Saccharomyces cerevisiae S288C: one gene and its partner. Each later gene encodes a partner of the first gene's protein in a complex. Each region holds a gene or a part of one and is shown on either strand. Other genes may lie near its edges. The genes, in order: CDC11 and BNI5.

What was found.
Region 2: CDC11 (region 1) and BNI5 share a complex: the UniProt entries of both Saccharomyces cerevisiae proteins name them as parts of the GIN4 complex.

What each region holds. Positions count from the first base shown.
Region 1 is NC_001142.9:574,854-578,730, forward strand, and holds CDC11 (septin CDC11), read right to left. Parts: upstream 1,749-3,877; coding exon 501-1,748; downstream 1-500. Other genes in the region: HOC1 (alpha-1,6-mannosyltransferase), read left to right, coding at 1-318; MIR1 (Mir1p), read right to left, coding at 2,402-3,337. UniProt on the Saccharomyces cerevisiae protein: Septins are GTPases involved in cytokinesis that assemble early in the cell cycle as a patch at the incipient bud site and form a ring approximate 15 minutes before bud emergence, which transforms into an hour-glass shaped collar of cortical filaments that spans both sides of the mother-bud neck.
Region 2 is NC_001146.8:319,758-331,998, reverse strand, and holds BNI5 (Bni5p), read left to right. Parts: upstream 1-8,433; coding exon 8,434-9,780; downstream 9,781-12,241. Other genes in the region: 60S ribosomal protein eL42 RPL42A, read right to left, coding at 1-161, 674-677; YNL162W-A (uncharacterized protein), read right to left, coding at 1,452-1,670; GTPase RIA1, read left to right, coding at 1,926-5,258; IBD2 (Ibd2p), read left to right, coding at 5,679-6,734; YNL165W (uncharacterized protein), read right to left, coding at 6,947-8,167; SKO1 (Sko1p), read left to right, coding at 10,640-12,241. UniProt on the Saccharomyces cerevisiae protein: Required for normal septin function and cytokinesis. Its recruitment to the bud neck by CDCd11 and SHS1 ensures efficient localization at the bud neck of MYO1, the type II myosin of the actomyosin contractile ring.

The DNA of each region.
Region 1 (3,877 bases):
AAGAGGGACGACCAACTAAACGTCAATCTAAGGAATGATCTGAATATTATGAGTTGGACGGGTTCTGGGTTGTGGACTGACACTATTTTCACGTATTTCAATGACTTTATGAGAAGTGGTGTCAGGGAGAAGGTTACATGGAAATTATTCCATAACCTAAATCAACCAAAATTGCTAAGTGATGTTCTGGTCTTTCCAAAATTCTCCTTTAACTGTCCAAACCAAATCGATAATGACGATCCACACAAGAAATTCTATTTCATTACTCATTTGGCATCACAATTTTGGAAAAATACTCCAAAGGTGGAGCAGAAATAAGTACTTCTACGCAGATATAATAAGGAACTTTTTTGTTAATTTTTTTTTGCTGATCGATATTAATACTTTTTAAGAATGAAGAAAAAAAAAAAATAATATACCAGATGTATTTACTTATATACAACACTCACTCTTTATATATATAGAGAAAGAAGAAATAAGTGAGGAAGCCAAAAGCGGACTCATTCTTCCTGTTTGATTTTCGCCTCTTTTTCCAACCTGGCTTCAATTTCTCTTAATTCCTTTTCTCTTTGCAACAGTTCTTGTCTTTTCAACAGCAGTTCTTGCTGAACTCTCTCCTCAAATGCCTTTAGTCGCTCTTCTTCTAACCGTATTTGCTCCTCACGTGTCATGTAGGTTTCGTTATTTTCGCCAGTGCTTTGCCCGTGCATATCGGATGCTGGGTTGAGAACATCGTTATTAATATTATTACTTTGCTTGAAGGGATTTGTGTTTCTCCTTGTTGTGGTGGACGATGACGACGAACCATTCAATTTTGTCAGATTTGGACGTATGGATTCTGCCGCGACAGATTCACCTGATAATGCCTCGGTTCTATATCTTTCATATAATATCTCATGTGTGTAGTTTTTCAAGTCATGTAAATGAGAGATCAATAACGCATTCCTTAAGATAACAAAATCAGAGATCGATGAATCTTCCACGTCCAGTATGCCCCATGGATACTTTCTGCCACGAATTGTCCCAACATCGCCGCCCATTTCGTAAACTTCATTGGATCCAATAATAGCAAAAGGTAGAAGTGTACGTAGGTACATATTGGTTTCGTAATCTTCGTCTGATATTTCATCTTCATCGAAAGGGAAATTATAAATTGGCAAGTTCCATCTGTCGATATCCTCCATGATCAATTTTTTATTCAGTTTCAGTTCATCTCTTGTCAAGGAATCTGATTTGCTGATCACAGGGATGATGTTAACTAAGGATCCCAACTGTCTGATGAATTCCACATCAATCTCTTTTAAACCGTGGCCAGTTGGGTTGATTAAGTAAAGACAACAATGAACTCTGCCGTCCTTAAATCTTGGGTTTCTTCTCACACGACTTTCTTCCAATAAGATTTCATCATATTGGTGGCGAATGTAGTCGGAAATGATTTCGAAAGATGGAGAATTGTCGAGAGAATCACCGAATCCCGGAGTATCGATGATATTAAGTTGAATCTTGACACCTTCATCATCTTCTAATTCGACCGTCTCCTCTCTCAATTGTAAGTCTATTTCTGTGGACGTATCTGTGGGTAACAAGATTGTCGTCGAAGTGTCTACAACTTGCTGACCGCACAAAGTATTTATAAAAGTCGATCTACCAGATCCGGACTGGCCCACGATCATCACAGTGAAGGTTATACCTCTTTTCAAATGCTTTCTTTTTCTTAATGCAGAAGATGCGTCAATTATTCCGGACATGGCTGGTGGTTAGCAACTTTAGGCCTTGTGATGATTGACTTTCTAAACGGCTCCAGATCGGGTCGCCAATACGTGGTGTCTACCTATTTTACTTTTCGATCAAATACTTTTTTGTTTATTTTTCTTTATGTTAGAAGGCGGAAAAATAAAGAATACTGGCGATCCTGCATGGTCGGGTAACGACCCACGAGCATTGTGTTGTGTAAATATAGCCATATTTAAGCTATATTTATCTGTATAACATATACGTGTCCGTATGTGCCCGACCAAATATGTTACTGCGATGAAATGGATTGAGAACGATGTTTAAATGTTATGTTCCATGTTGTGTTTTCCACCAAAAAACCGTGAAGGACAATTCAATGAGCAAAGGGTTTAACGGAGCTATAACCTGCTTTTGTAGATGAAAAAATAGAAAATTCAAATATATATATATATATATATTTATAATAGCATGTTAATTTACAGATATTTGGACTTTTGCAAAGTCAGTAAATACATGGAATAAGAATACTAGTGATTGAATAGAGTACATTTAAACAGATTTATTTATTTCTTTCCTTTGTTGACTCTTTCTTAGAATATGAAAAAAAAAAGGGGCTCCGGTGGTGATGAGGAGAGAATATATATGCATGTATCAATCAAGACCATTTCTAATGACCACCACCACCAATTTCAATGGTTGGTGGGCAACCCAAAGTGCTCTTTAAAGAACCATAAATACCAAATTGCAAGGAGGTCAAGGTACCAACCATGACCAAACGAGTAGGCAACCCAGCAAAGGAACCGAAAAATCCTAACTGTTTGGCCAACTGAGCCAACAAACCGACTGTGGATTGGCCAGGAGCCTTCTTAGTCTTGTTGACCTTGGACAACAGAGTGTCTGCTGGCTGGGAAACAATGGCAGCGGCCAAACCAGCAGTCAAACCGGAAAGCAAATTCAACAAAGTAGTGGAAGTAGAGGACAATTTTTCTTTTGGACCGGCGAACCCGTAGTAGAACTCGGAGGCACGTTCAAAGACCAAGAATTTAGCAATGTTGTAAGGAATTTGCTTGAACAAAATTGGAGTGAACCCACTGTAGAAAGAGCCGATACCTTCTTCTTTCAAAATTCTGGAAAACCCTCCGACGAGTCCATTAGCGAACTGTGGTTGGGAGACCAATCTGATTCTAGTGGCTTCTAGGGGACACAAGGCAATGTCTGCCAAGAATTCGGCCATGGCAGCAGAACCCATGTAAACAGAGTTCTTGTAGCGAGAGGCGGTATCGTAACCCAAGTTGTCAATGAAGAACTTCTTGAACACTTCGTAACCACCGAACTTGAAGGCACCTTGGATAGAGTAACCCAACAAAGTAGGACCAAACCCGGTCAACAACGCACCAGCACCTTCTCCGGCGATGATTTGCTTGAAAGAGCCGACCATACCCTTGTTGTACACGGTAGGTTCCAGTTGGATTCTCGTCTTAACGACATCGATCGGGACCATACTGGAGTGAGTCGACCCGCACCCTATGGCGCCGGCTAGGGCGAATTTCATGTAGTCAGAGACAGAGTACTGTGGAATAGCAGGAGCAGCAGACACAGACATGGTGAGATGAGACTTTTTGATCTTTGTAGTTCTTCTTCTTGCAGATCACTCTGTTCTTTGCGATGGTTCTTGTAGATAAAAAGATCGGGAGGATGGATCGCACTTAAAAATCTTCTCGAAACGGGCCGCGGCCGGGCATGGGACCCGTTCTCGACGCTGATTGGCTAACGATGGTTGGGCAGAGTCTCAGCTGCTGCTTGCTCACATTCGACAAAAGACTAGAGGAAAGCAGTACCATGCTGCGATACTGTTGCATCGCAGCATTCCGCTGTCCAAAAACAATACCTGTTGTATTGTTTGAGGCTGGCAGGCGCTTGGGTAGAAACAACACCCGATACTGGTGACAGGGCTATCTATAAATATTAAAACTTGACTCCGCAATTCGTCGTAAACTGCCTTAACCATCGTAATGGACGCCGTGCAAATGCTTCGACTTTTCCCAGTAGTCAGGCATTGCGCCAGACACTTGTGCTGCTTAATTGTCGTAATGAAAACATATCGGTAGCGGCCTTTTTTTATTTTTTTTCTCTATGGGCTGAC
Region 2 (12,241 bases), on another chromosome or scaffold:
CTTGGTTTGACCACCGAAACCAGATTGTTTACGGTCATAACGTCTCTTACCTTGGGCAAACAAGGAAGCCTTACCAGCTTTGTATTGAGTAACCTTGTGTTGAGTGTGCTTACGACAGGTCTTACCCTTACAGTAGGTCTTTCTGGTCTTTGGAACGTTAACTAAATAGAAGAAATAGATGAGACATCGTACTAATGTTAGTAAAAAAGTTTATTATTAGAAAAAATCAGTAAGGTGGTAAGCAAAATCTAGCATATTGAAAAGAAATAACAGTTATCCAACTTATCCCCTCTACGTTTCCTTCCTCAAAGAATATCACTGCACAATCTGAAGATAGCGAGGGAAATAGAAGCCTTTTTTGAGCTTCACAAATAGGCTACTGTGCTGTTTGGAGCTTTTTCAGAGCATATTATCAGAAAAACAGAAAGGATCCTCCATGCATATGATACTCTGTTGCTGCATATCTCGGTTTCATTGCTGACTGCTGAACTTTTATTGCGCATCGTTTAGTTTTGTGTATACGCCCTTTTTAGGCGCAGATTATACAGTTGCTAGGTGTGTCTGTTTATGCATTCATGACGATTATGAAATTTCATTGACAATAAAAATCAAATTAGCTTTTCTTTATTGGTCCTGATTTTATTCACCATTAGGAATTATGGTTATAACATACCCATTTTTACTGATAATTGTTGTTTTCCTCTATTAAGGATTAGATTTCAAGATGCATTTGGACCACTTAATGGTGCTATTATCTGCCTCCTTCGCGCTCATGTACTAGCCCTTCGAAGGTAGATTGAACCGCCTTTCCCGGGCAAAAGAGAAGGTTGCGCTATTTCCTGTGACCCAATCACTCTGCGGGCCAGCTGCTGTAACCTTCCTACTGGTCCGGCCTATTGGCACTAGACAAAGCTCCCTTCCCTGGCAGGATCAGTCCTGGCGTTAGGCGGAATTCAGGTGTTAAATGTCCGCAAGAGAAAAAATAGATAAATAAAAAAAAAGTATAACTCGAAGTAAATGTCTAGGTTTTACTTTAGATGTAAGGATGTAAGATCTCTGAATGTAGGACAGCATTTGGTAGAAAACTGTTATTATATGCCGATATGACAGCTACATATTTGCTATTTGTCACTGCGGTTTGGCGTTCCAAAACGCATTAGTCTATATTGGTGATGAATAATTGACAAGTTTTAATGCCAAAGCTAGACAAGTTATTACACACTTTTTAGTTTTCCTTGTACGAACTTTTTTGGGTTTCACATAGAAAGTAGATTATTCGTAAAAACCGGATACTTGATCTTCACTCTTTGAGACCTTTAATTATGTCGCTTCTTTTATGTTAATTTCAACTATCATGTTATTGCTCTTTATATTGTTATCGCTCATATTTGACTCTGCAATGGCGTTACTAGGGATAATGAAAGATAATGAACAGCAATAGTGCAACTATTTTATGGTTTGCTTCGTGAAGATAATCTTTTTTTTGCAACTTTTAAGACGTCATTATCGTCTACATACGTTAGATTTTCGAGTACTTCTCTTTGATTGAATGGGTAGCCGCAGACTAAGCTGGGACATATTATAATGGCATAATTTTGCTGTACTAAACACTTTTGAAGTCTTTCATTGCAATTTGGACAAAATACTTGGGAGTCGGGCTTATCAGACATCTTTTAATGACGTGTTCGTTTGTATGTAGTTTTGGTATACTGGATATTCGATATATTGTAAAGTGGAATTTTCAGCTCATCGCTTCCTTTTTCTTTTTCCTACGAGAAAAGAAATTTTGAAAAATGGGAACTTAAGAGCCAAGAATATTGATAGATAGGTGCACCCGAAATACAATCTTTGTACATCATCAAGATTATCAAAATAGTTTATAAAATAACCAAACTCAGTTATTTTTCTAAGCACGATAAGCAAATATGCCTAGAGTGGAATCGGAGACTTACAAACGTCTGCAAAATGACCCTTCCTGTATAAGAAATATATGTATTGTTGCTCATGTTGATCACGGTAAAACTTCACTTTCAGATTCTCTTTTGGCTTCGAATGGTATTATATCACAAAGGCTTGCCGGCAAAATTCGATTCTTAGATGCCAGGCCTGACGAACAACTACGTGGTATCACAATGGAATCATCGGCTATCTCTTTATATTTTAGGGTATTGCGTAAACAAGAAGGTTCCGATGAGCCTCTTGTAAGCGAGCATCTAGTAAACTTAATTGATTCCCCAGGTCACATTGATTTTTCAAGTGAGGTCAGTGCAGCTTCAAGACTATGTGATGGTGCTGTCGTACTGGTTGATGTCGTAGAGGGGGTATGCTCGCAAACCGTCACAGTGTTGAGACAATGTTGGACGGAGAAGCTGAAGCCCATTTTAGTATTGAATAAGATTGATAGATTGATCACAGAACTACAACTAACTCCCCAAGAAGCTTATATTCACTTGTCCAAAGTCATTGAACAAGTCAACTCAGTTATCGGGTCCTTTTTCGCAAACGAGAGACAATTGGATGATTTATTTTGGAGGGAGCAATTAGAAAAGAACGAAAACGCGGAATATATTGAAAAGGATGATTCGGGTATTTACTTTAACCCTACTGATAACAACGTTATTTTTGCTTCCGCAATTGATGGTTGGGGTTTCAACATCGGTCAATTGGCCAAATTTTACGAACAAAAATTAGGCGCTAAAAGGGAAAACCTACAGAAAGTTTTATGGGGTGATTTCTATATGGATCCCAAGACAAAAAAAATTATTAACAATAAAGGCCTTAAGGGAAGATCCCTGAAACCCCTTTTCACATCGCTAATCCTCGAAAATATATGGAAAATTTATCAAAACATAATCACATCGAGAGATTCTGAAATGGTCGAAAAAATAGCAAAAACTTTAAATATTAAGCTACTTGCACGTGATCTAAGGTCGAAGGACGATAAACAATTGTTAAGAACTATCATGGGTCAATGGCTACCCGTCAGCACAGCAGTATTGTTAACAGTTATTGAAAAATTACCTTCACCTTTGGAATCACAAACCGATCGTTTGAACACTATTTTGGTCTCCGAATCCGACACAGCAGCCATGGATCCAAGACTTCTGAAAGCCATGAAGACATGTGATAAAGAAGGACCAGTTAGTGCATACGTATCTAAGATGCTTTCAATTCCTAGAGAAGAATTACCTGTTGAATCTAAGAGGATAGCATCTTCGGATGAGCTGATGGAGAGAAGTAGAAAGGCACGTGAGGAAGCACTTAATGCTGCAAAACATGCTGGTATGGTAGAAAATATGGCAATGATGGATTTGAATGACAATTCTAAAAATACATCAGATTTATATAAAAGAGCAAAAGATACCGTTATGACCCCCGAAGTAGGAGAACAGACAAAGCCAAAACCTTCAAGAAATAATGATGTTTTCTGTGTTGTTTCAGAGCCTTCTTCCGCCTTGGATTTAGAATTTGAATATGAGGGGGAGGATGATTCAGATAGTCAAGATAACTTCGGCCTAGATTTTGTACCAACTGACATAGATCCAAATGACCCTCTAAGTTCAATGTTTGAATATGAGGAAGAAGATCCACTTTTGGAGAGTATTAAGCAAATTTCAGAGGATGTGAACGATGAAGTAGATGATATTTTTGACGAAAAGGAAGAATGCTTGGTAGCATTTGCAAGAATATACAGTGGCACACTAAGAGTTGGTCAGGAGATTTCGGTATTGGGTCCAAAATATGATCCAAAATGTCCAGAGGAGCATATTGAAACTGCGATTATTACGCATTTATATTTGTTTATGGGTAAGGAATTGGTTCCTTTGGACGTTTGTCCATCAGGAAATATAGTCGGTATTCGTGGTCTGGCCGGTAAAGTTTTAAAGAGTGGTACGTTGATAGAGAAGGGCGTACAAGGCGTCAATCTAGCGGGCGTCAATTTCCATTTTACGCCAATCGTTCGTGTTGCTGTGGAGCCAGCCAATCCTGTGGAAATGAGCAAGTTGGTACGAGGATTAAAGTTGTTGGATCAAGCAGATCCTTGCGTGCACACATACGTTGAAAATACTGGTGAACACATTCTGTGTACGGCCGGTGAATTACATTTAGAAAGATGCCTAAAAGATTTAACAGAGAGATTTGCAGGAATAGAAATTACACATTCTGAACCGGCTATTCCATATAGGGAAACATTTTTATCAGCCTCAGATATGAATCCACCGCAGAATTCACAGCTGGGAAGGGGTGTTCATGAACTACTATTGAGCCAGTACAAGATTACATTCAGAACGTTCCCATTAAGCGGTAAAGTTACAGACTTTTTATCTCAACATCAAAATAGCATTAAAAACATTTTGAAGACGTCCACTTCAAGCATGGATCCCGTCATAGAATCAACTGGAAGTTCTTTTCTAGACAAAAAGTCTTTACTCGTTGCTTTTGAAGAGGTCATAAATCAGGAGGAGAAGAGCAGAGAACTATTAAGTGGGTTTAAAGTAAAGTTAGCAGGTTTTGGGCCAAGTAGAGTTGGGTGCAACATTTTGCTGTCGCAGGATAATCTTCTTGGAAGCCTATTTGAAGGTACTCCAGCAGCCTTTGAGTATTCAGATTCCATCAAAAATGGCTTCCAACTGGCTGTTAGCGAAGGACCTCTGGCAAATGAGCCCGTACAGGGAATGTGTGTTCTTGTTGAAAGCGTACATAAGATGTCACAAGACGAAATTGAATCTATTGAAGATCCGCGCTACCAACAACATATTGTGGACTTATCAGGGAGGTTGATAACTTCTACAAGGGACGCTATACATGAGGCCTTTTTAGACTGGTCCCCAAGAATTATGTGGGCAATTTACTCATGTGATATTCAAACCTCTGTCGATGTACTTGGAAAAGTGTATGCCGTTATTCTACAGAGGCATGGTAAAATCATTTCTGAAGAAATGAAAGAAGGTACACCGTTTTTTCAAATTGAGGCACATGTGCCCGTTGTGGAAGCATTCGGTTTAAGTGAAGATATTCGTAAACGAACATCTGGTGCAGCACAACCTCAATTGGTATTTTCCGGATTCGAGTGTATCGATTTAGATCCATTTTGGGTCCCAACCACAGAAGAAGAATTGGAGGAACTAGGTGATACAGCAGATAGAGAGAATATTGCCCGTAAGCATATGAATGCCATCAGAAGAAGGAAAGGTCTATTCATTGAAGAAAAAGTTGTCGAAAATGCCGAAAAACAACGTACTTTGAAAAAGAATTAAGGTTTTTTAGGGTTTATATGAATCATAGACTAATATAGATAGTTTTCACTAGTTGAAAATATATATAAATATATGTATGTATGTATGTATATTCACTTGAATATGAGATGAAATAGCACAGTTTTCAAGCATTTCCAGTCTTACGTATTCTATGATATACTACATACTCTCGCGCGAGTGAATGTTTTAGCGATGGGACAAGAAAGTTGAGATGATCTGGACGATGAGAATGGCAAAATAAGCGAGAGCTACAGCAAGAACTACAGATTGCACTTTTTGCATATACCCTGAATAGGAATTTCTTTGCTAAATATTTGGTAATTTGTTATCCATATTTACTGATATCGTGCTTCTTACGACGAATTTATAGCTTTAATCATATTCTCTTCTCTTCTATTTTCATGCCATATCATCAAGAAAATGACACCTACAAACCAATCTAGTGGAACGACTAATGCATCTGTGGAGGTACTTTCAGAGGATGGACCTATGCCAATAAACGTTATGATGCAAGAAGGTGTGAAAGCGCTGACTAAAATTCTTTCCAATCAGCTTCAAGACAGACAAGCTTTTCAAAACGCTCCTCATGCAATGCAATTCGTTATAAGAAATGGAGGAAAAGCTTTATCAAATGCACGGTTAGAAGAGCTCAAAGATGCTCTTCCTAAGATGGACTCGTTGAGTTTGGAAGATGAACTTGCGAAAATAGATGGCCAAAGTGCATACCACATTGATTCCGCAGAGGAAAAGGAAACCTTTGAAAGTAAAATAGGCCAAATAGCTTCTAGAAATAGTGCAGACTTCATAATAGAGGAGGACTTGCAAAATATTTTAGATGATGATCTTAAAGACTCAGAACTTAACTTGGATGGCGAAGAAGCCGAAATAATTTTCGATTATGAGAGCCAAGAACTGGATACACCGGATGGTATAGGGGAAAAGATTTCTCAAATGATAGAATCGGTGTTACCGGGAGGGTTTGGAAGTGAAGAACAGGGGGGGTTGCGAACTGTAACAAATGTAGAGGATTTAGATGTTGCAGAAGAAGTCACAGATATCGATCATGATACCGTTGACGCAGCTCGTTTGCATGGAGACGGTCAACATTCCATATCTTCTAGAAAGCACAGCAGGTCAAAGAACTCGAAAAAGAATGGGCATGTAAGGCGACATGACTTTTATGACGAATCTAGAGACCATAAAAGTTGTTGCCCGCATCATCATTATGAAAACTTATCCAAACTACGAAACTACTATTATCATGATTTTGAATATATTTCCAGAACGGAAAACCGTGTTCCAGATTTCTCTGTCCTAGTTAACGAATCAAGTCCCATGTGTTTATTTTGCGAGTACTACATGGTGTTTGGTGAACCACCACGTAACATGATAAAGTGGTATAATCGTACGTTTGGTTACAATCGTATGCCGAATCCACCAAGAGATGAACAAGATAGTAGGAAAAGGAATAGATAGTCAACATTATTACTGTAGGAATAAAGTAGTATAGGGAACATTACATAATAGAGGAAAACTTGTGAGGAAAACTTGTGACATTCTAAACGTATTTAAGAGTTATTGAAAAATTAATGGTGTACGACAATATTTCTCTTTGAATATTTATATGCTTCTTAGCGGTATTATGACTAAATAGTAACAGGAAAAAACACAAGTAAATGCAAATGGGTTTACATCAGTAATCCTGCCGGTCCATTTAGCATATATGTGGTCGAGCTGCCCCATGCGGTGTGGCGTTTCTCCTTTCTTGATTCATATTCATGTAATAGCATGCACATGCAAGTAAGTATCTGACTATCCCACGGCACATTTTCAATGATATTAGAGCCCATTTCAGTATAATTGGTAGATGTTAAACTAGAGCCATCATCAAACGAATCAGTTTCTTGTAAGTACAAGGTAGCTACTCTCAAAGTTCTTTTTTTCGGTATGACACTAACTTTATCATCTGTGTATCTGGCCCATACTGGGAGATAACCCAGCGGTCTTGTGGGACGGGAACGGCTGTAAGAATCAAACTCTTCAATAGTTTGTTGGTTCATGTAGGATGCCATCGTATCATCGAGTACAAGTAGGTTGATGCTATTTGAGCCAAAAGGTGAAGCTAAACTAGTTGTCCCGTACCAACGAAGATTTAATCCATGAATTGCCGTATCCGCATTTTTCCTTTGATTGTAATTAATCATGGGGATATGAACATCAGGTTCATCTTTTCTATGAAATATAAAATCGTGCTCTACCCTGCTCGAAAAATTATGGCTTTCCATTTTTTTTAGAATAGTGCAGAATTCATATTTATATATGGAGACATTTTCGTTTATTCGAGAGACCACTTCTGAGTTTAATGGAGGTTTATCGCATTGGGAGTCTATCATAACGTATTTATATATCCTCATTACCGGTGTATTTTGATCACTGAAAAGCGACTTGACCAGGTTTAAAGAAATGGCGTGAAATAGGGGAAGTCCTAGACCCCTCTTTGGATCAATGTTATCGAGCTTCCTCTTGTTGTGTAAAAATAGCTGGAGAGATTCTTCACTGGGGAATGCAAAAAACCCTCGTTGTAGTAGCACCGAAACGAATGGCATGGCTCTTTCTGACGTGAATCTTGGGGCTCTGTTAACATAACCCTGTCTTTGTAGGTCTCCAATTGTTGAGCCTTCTGATACCGCTGTATTCAAAGTAGCTGCATCCGCACTATCATCGCCCTCGTTGGCAGAGGTTTCCAGAGATTCATTTTCTCGTGCAAATATTGTAGATTGGTCGTCTCCATAACCATTAGCTCCCAAGAGATTGACGGTGGATGGAGACCCACTGTGAGGATACGGAGGATGTTGGCGATTATGTCGGCGTCCCCGGCGATTTCCAATCAAAGAGCGTACTCTATCCATGCGGATCTTTGGCAAATGTATGTAGCACTTCTCCTATCGTTCAATTTGATGCTCTTTCTTTTCCAAAAGCCTTACTTGTTCTTCTTCTTCACTAGTAGTGAAGGGCTTTAGAGATGCCCAGAACCCAGACCATTTTAGACGCGTTATGAAATAAATATTGCGCTGAAAATTCAAACTTCATAATAAACAAAAATCATTAATAGTTTTGTAATTTGATTTACTGTTATGGTGATGCTATGTTAGTGTGAAATAGAACAACAGAAACGATGGGCTTGGACCAGGACAAGATAAAGAAGAGGCTTTCTCAAATAGAGATAGATATCAACCAGATGAACCAGATGATTGACGAAAATTTACAATTAGTTGAACCTGCGGAGGACGAAGCTGTCGAAGATAATGTCAAGGATACGGGTGTGGTCGACGCTGTAAAGGTGGCAGAAACGGCTCTTTTTAGTGGCAATGATGGAGCGGATAGTAACCCAGGAGATTCAGCTCAGGTTGAAGAGCACAAAACCGCACAGGTCCATATTCCCACTGAGAATGAAGCGAATAAGAGTACGGATGACCCATCCCAGCTATCGGTTACTCAACCTTTTATAGCGAAAGAGCAGATAACTCACACCGCCATTGCTATTGGTGACTCCTATAATTCATTTGTCGCAAATTCCGCTGGAAATGAAAAGGCAAAGGACTCCTGCACTGAGAACAAAGAAGATGGTACAGTCAATATAGATCAAAACAGGGGTGAAGCTGATGTTGAAATTATCGAAAATAATGATGATGAATGGGAGGATGAAAAATCGGATGTTGAAGAGGGGCGAGTAGATAAGGGAACAGAGGAAAACAGTGAGATTGAATCTTTCAAATCACCCATGCCCCAGAATAACACCTTGGGCGGTGAGAACAAGTTAGACGCTGAACTTGTATTAGACAAATTTTCTTCCGCTAATAAGGATCTAGATATACAACCGCAAACCATAGTTGTAGGAGGTGACAATGAATACAACCATGAGAGCAGCCGTTTAGCTGATCAAACACCCCATGACGATAATTCAGAGAATTGTCCCAATCGCTCTGGAGGAAGCACTCCCTTAGATTCTCAAACTAAAATTTTTATCCCTAAAAAGAATTCTAAAGAAGATGGTACCAATATAAATCACTTTAATTCAGATGGTGATGGACAGAAAAAAATGGCGAATTTCGAGACACGACGCCCTACAAATCCGTTCAGAGTTATCTCGGTGAGCAGCAATTCCAATTCAAGAAACGGAAGTCGTAAATCTTCACTAAATAAGTATGATTCGCCAGTCTCCTCTCCTATCACATCAGCGTCTGAGCTGGGCAGTATTGCCAAGCTGGAAAAAAGACATGATTATTTATCCATGAAATGCATTAAGTTACAAAAGGAAATTGACTATCTAAACAAGATGAATGCACAGGGTTCTTTATCTATGGAAGACGGAAAGAGACTACATAGAGCCGTAGTGAAGCTTCAAGAATATCTTGACAAGAAAACGAAGGAGAAATATGAGGTCGGAGTGTTATTAAGTAGACATCTGAGAAAGCAAATTGATCGTGGCGAAAATGGCCAATTTTGGATTGGAACTAAATGATTACATTACGCCAAGGGTTGTTATAAATATTTATAAATTAAGACAGATATATAAAGTTAAAATAAATACCAAAAGAACATAGACAATCGTAAGAGAATAAGAATCCTTTATCCTAGAGCCATCCATCTGTTATTTTTGATGTTGCTGACTTTTTTTCTGATAAATTCTATTATTTTAATAGTAAAGAGGTGAGTATTTCGCCTAAACGTAAACAAAACGATAATAAAAAAAAAAAAAAATGAAGACAAAATGTTCAGATAGTCAATTATATTGTAATAACATGAAACGGAACAATAACAGTACCCAGAATTCAATTTCAATGGCGTTGTGTCTTCTTTTCTCTAAGAACTTTCATAAACCAAGTCGTACTTAACCGCGCTAGCGATAACCCTGCTAACTTTGTCGCAGAGGGAAAAAAGTAGAATCGAAGGGAAAAATCACGAAAATTAACTGGGCTGAATAGAATGAATTCAGTCATACGGTGATGGTTTTCGAAACAAACTGCACATTTTTCCAGTTAAAAGGACCAAGTTTGGTTACTGATACGTGAGACTAATTTGTTCTCCAGAAACACAATAATTTGGTGCTACATTGCCAACGCTCAGGAGTGGTTTTAAGCTCAGAAAAGTTACTACCAAAGGGGTTCAACGTAAAAGTGAATTGTGTTTTCTTATCGAGAAAAACTCTTTTATTATTCAAGTGAGTTTTCCACTTATTAGATTCCTATCTTTTTACCGATCTCTATTATTTGATAAGTTCCTTAATCAATTCGTGGATTTTTATTTTTATTTCATTCTTTTCATTTCAATTTCTGCATTCCAAATACACCTGCCCAGTCTCTAGACCCTGCTTAATCATTATGTCAAGCGAGGAACGCTCGAGACAACCAAGTACTGTTTCAACTTTCGATTTAGAACCCAATCCTTTTGAACAAAGCTTCGCCTCTTCCAAGAAGGCTTTGTCACTTCCAGGCACGATCTCCCATCCGTCTCTACCAAAAGAGCTTTCACGAAACAATTCTACCTCAACGATAACACAACATTCCCAACGTTCCACTCATAGTTTGAACAGTATTCCAGAAGAAAATGGGAATTCAACCGTTACAGATAATAGTAATCATAATGACGTAAAAAAAGACTCACCTAGTTTTTTACCAGGCCAACAAAGACCTACTATAATATCTCCGCCTATTCTCACACCTGGTGGGTCGAAAAGATTACCACCTCTACTCCTTTCTCCCTCTATTTTATATCAGGCAAATTCAACTACGAATCCCAGTCAGAATTCACATTCTGTTTCAGTCTCTAATTCAAACCCTAGTGCAATAGGCGTTTCTTCTACCTCCGGATCTCTGTATCCAAACAGCTCTTCTCCTTCAGGGACTTCACTTATACGCCAGCCACGAAACTCGAACGTGACCACAAGTAATTCTGGTAACGGCTTCCCCACGAATGATTCACAAATGCCTGGCTTTTTATTAAACTTGTCCAAATCTGGGTTGACACCTAATGAGTCCAATATCAGGACCGGGTTGACACCCGGTATTCTTACGCAATCTTACAATTATCCCGTATTGCCGTCAATTAATAAAAATACTATAACAGGTAGCAAAAATGTCAACAAAAGTGTCACAGTGAATGGAAGTATTGAAAACCACCCTCATGTTAATATAATGCACCCAACTGTAAATGGTACACCACTTACGCCGGGATTGAGTTCTCTGCTAAACTTACCATCTACTGGAGTTTTGGCTAATCCAGTATTCAAATCAACACCTACAACAAATACCACAGATGGTACCGTCAACAACAGCATCAGTAATTCCAATTTTTCCCCAAATACTTCAACGAAAGCGGCTGTCAAAATGGATAATCCGGCAGAGTTCAATGCCATCGAGCACTCCGCTCATAATCACAAGGAGAATGAAAATTTAACGACTCAAATTGAGAACAATGACCAGTTCAATAACAAAACACGAAAAAGAAAGAGAAGGATGTCTAGCACAAGTTCTACTTCTAAGGCTTCAAGAAAAAATTCCATATCAAGAAAAAACTCAGCAGTTACGACTGCACCAGCACAAAAAGATGATGTTGAAAATAATAAAATTTCAAACAACGTAACACTTGATGAGAATGAAGAGCAAGAAAGAAAAAGAAAGGAGTTTTTAGAAAGAAATAGAGTAGCTGCATCTAAATTTAGAAAAAGAAAGAAAGAGTACATCAAGAAAATTGAAAATGATCTACAATTCTATGAATCTGAATATGACGATCTAACTCAGGTCATTGGGAAGCTATGCGGCATAATACCCTCAAGCTCCTCGAATTCCCAATTCAATGTGAATGTTTCAACTCCGTCATCATCATCACCACCATCTACATCTTTAATAGCATTGTTAGAGAGTAGCATTTCAAGGAGTGATTATTCAAGTGCAATGTCAGTATTATCAAACATGAAGCAATTG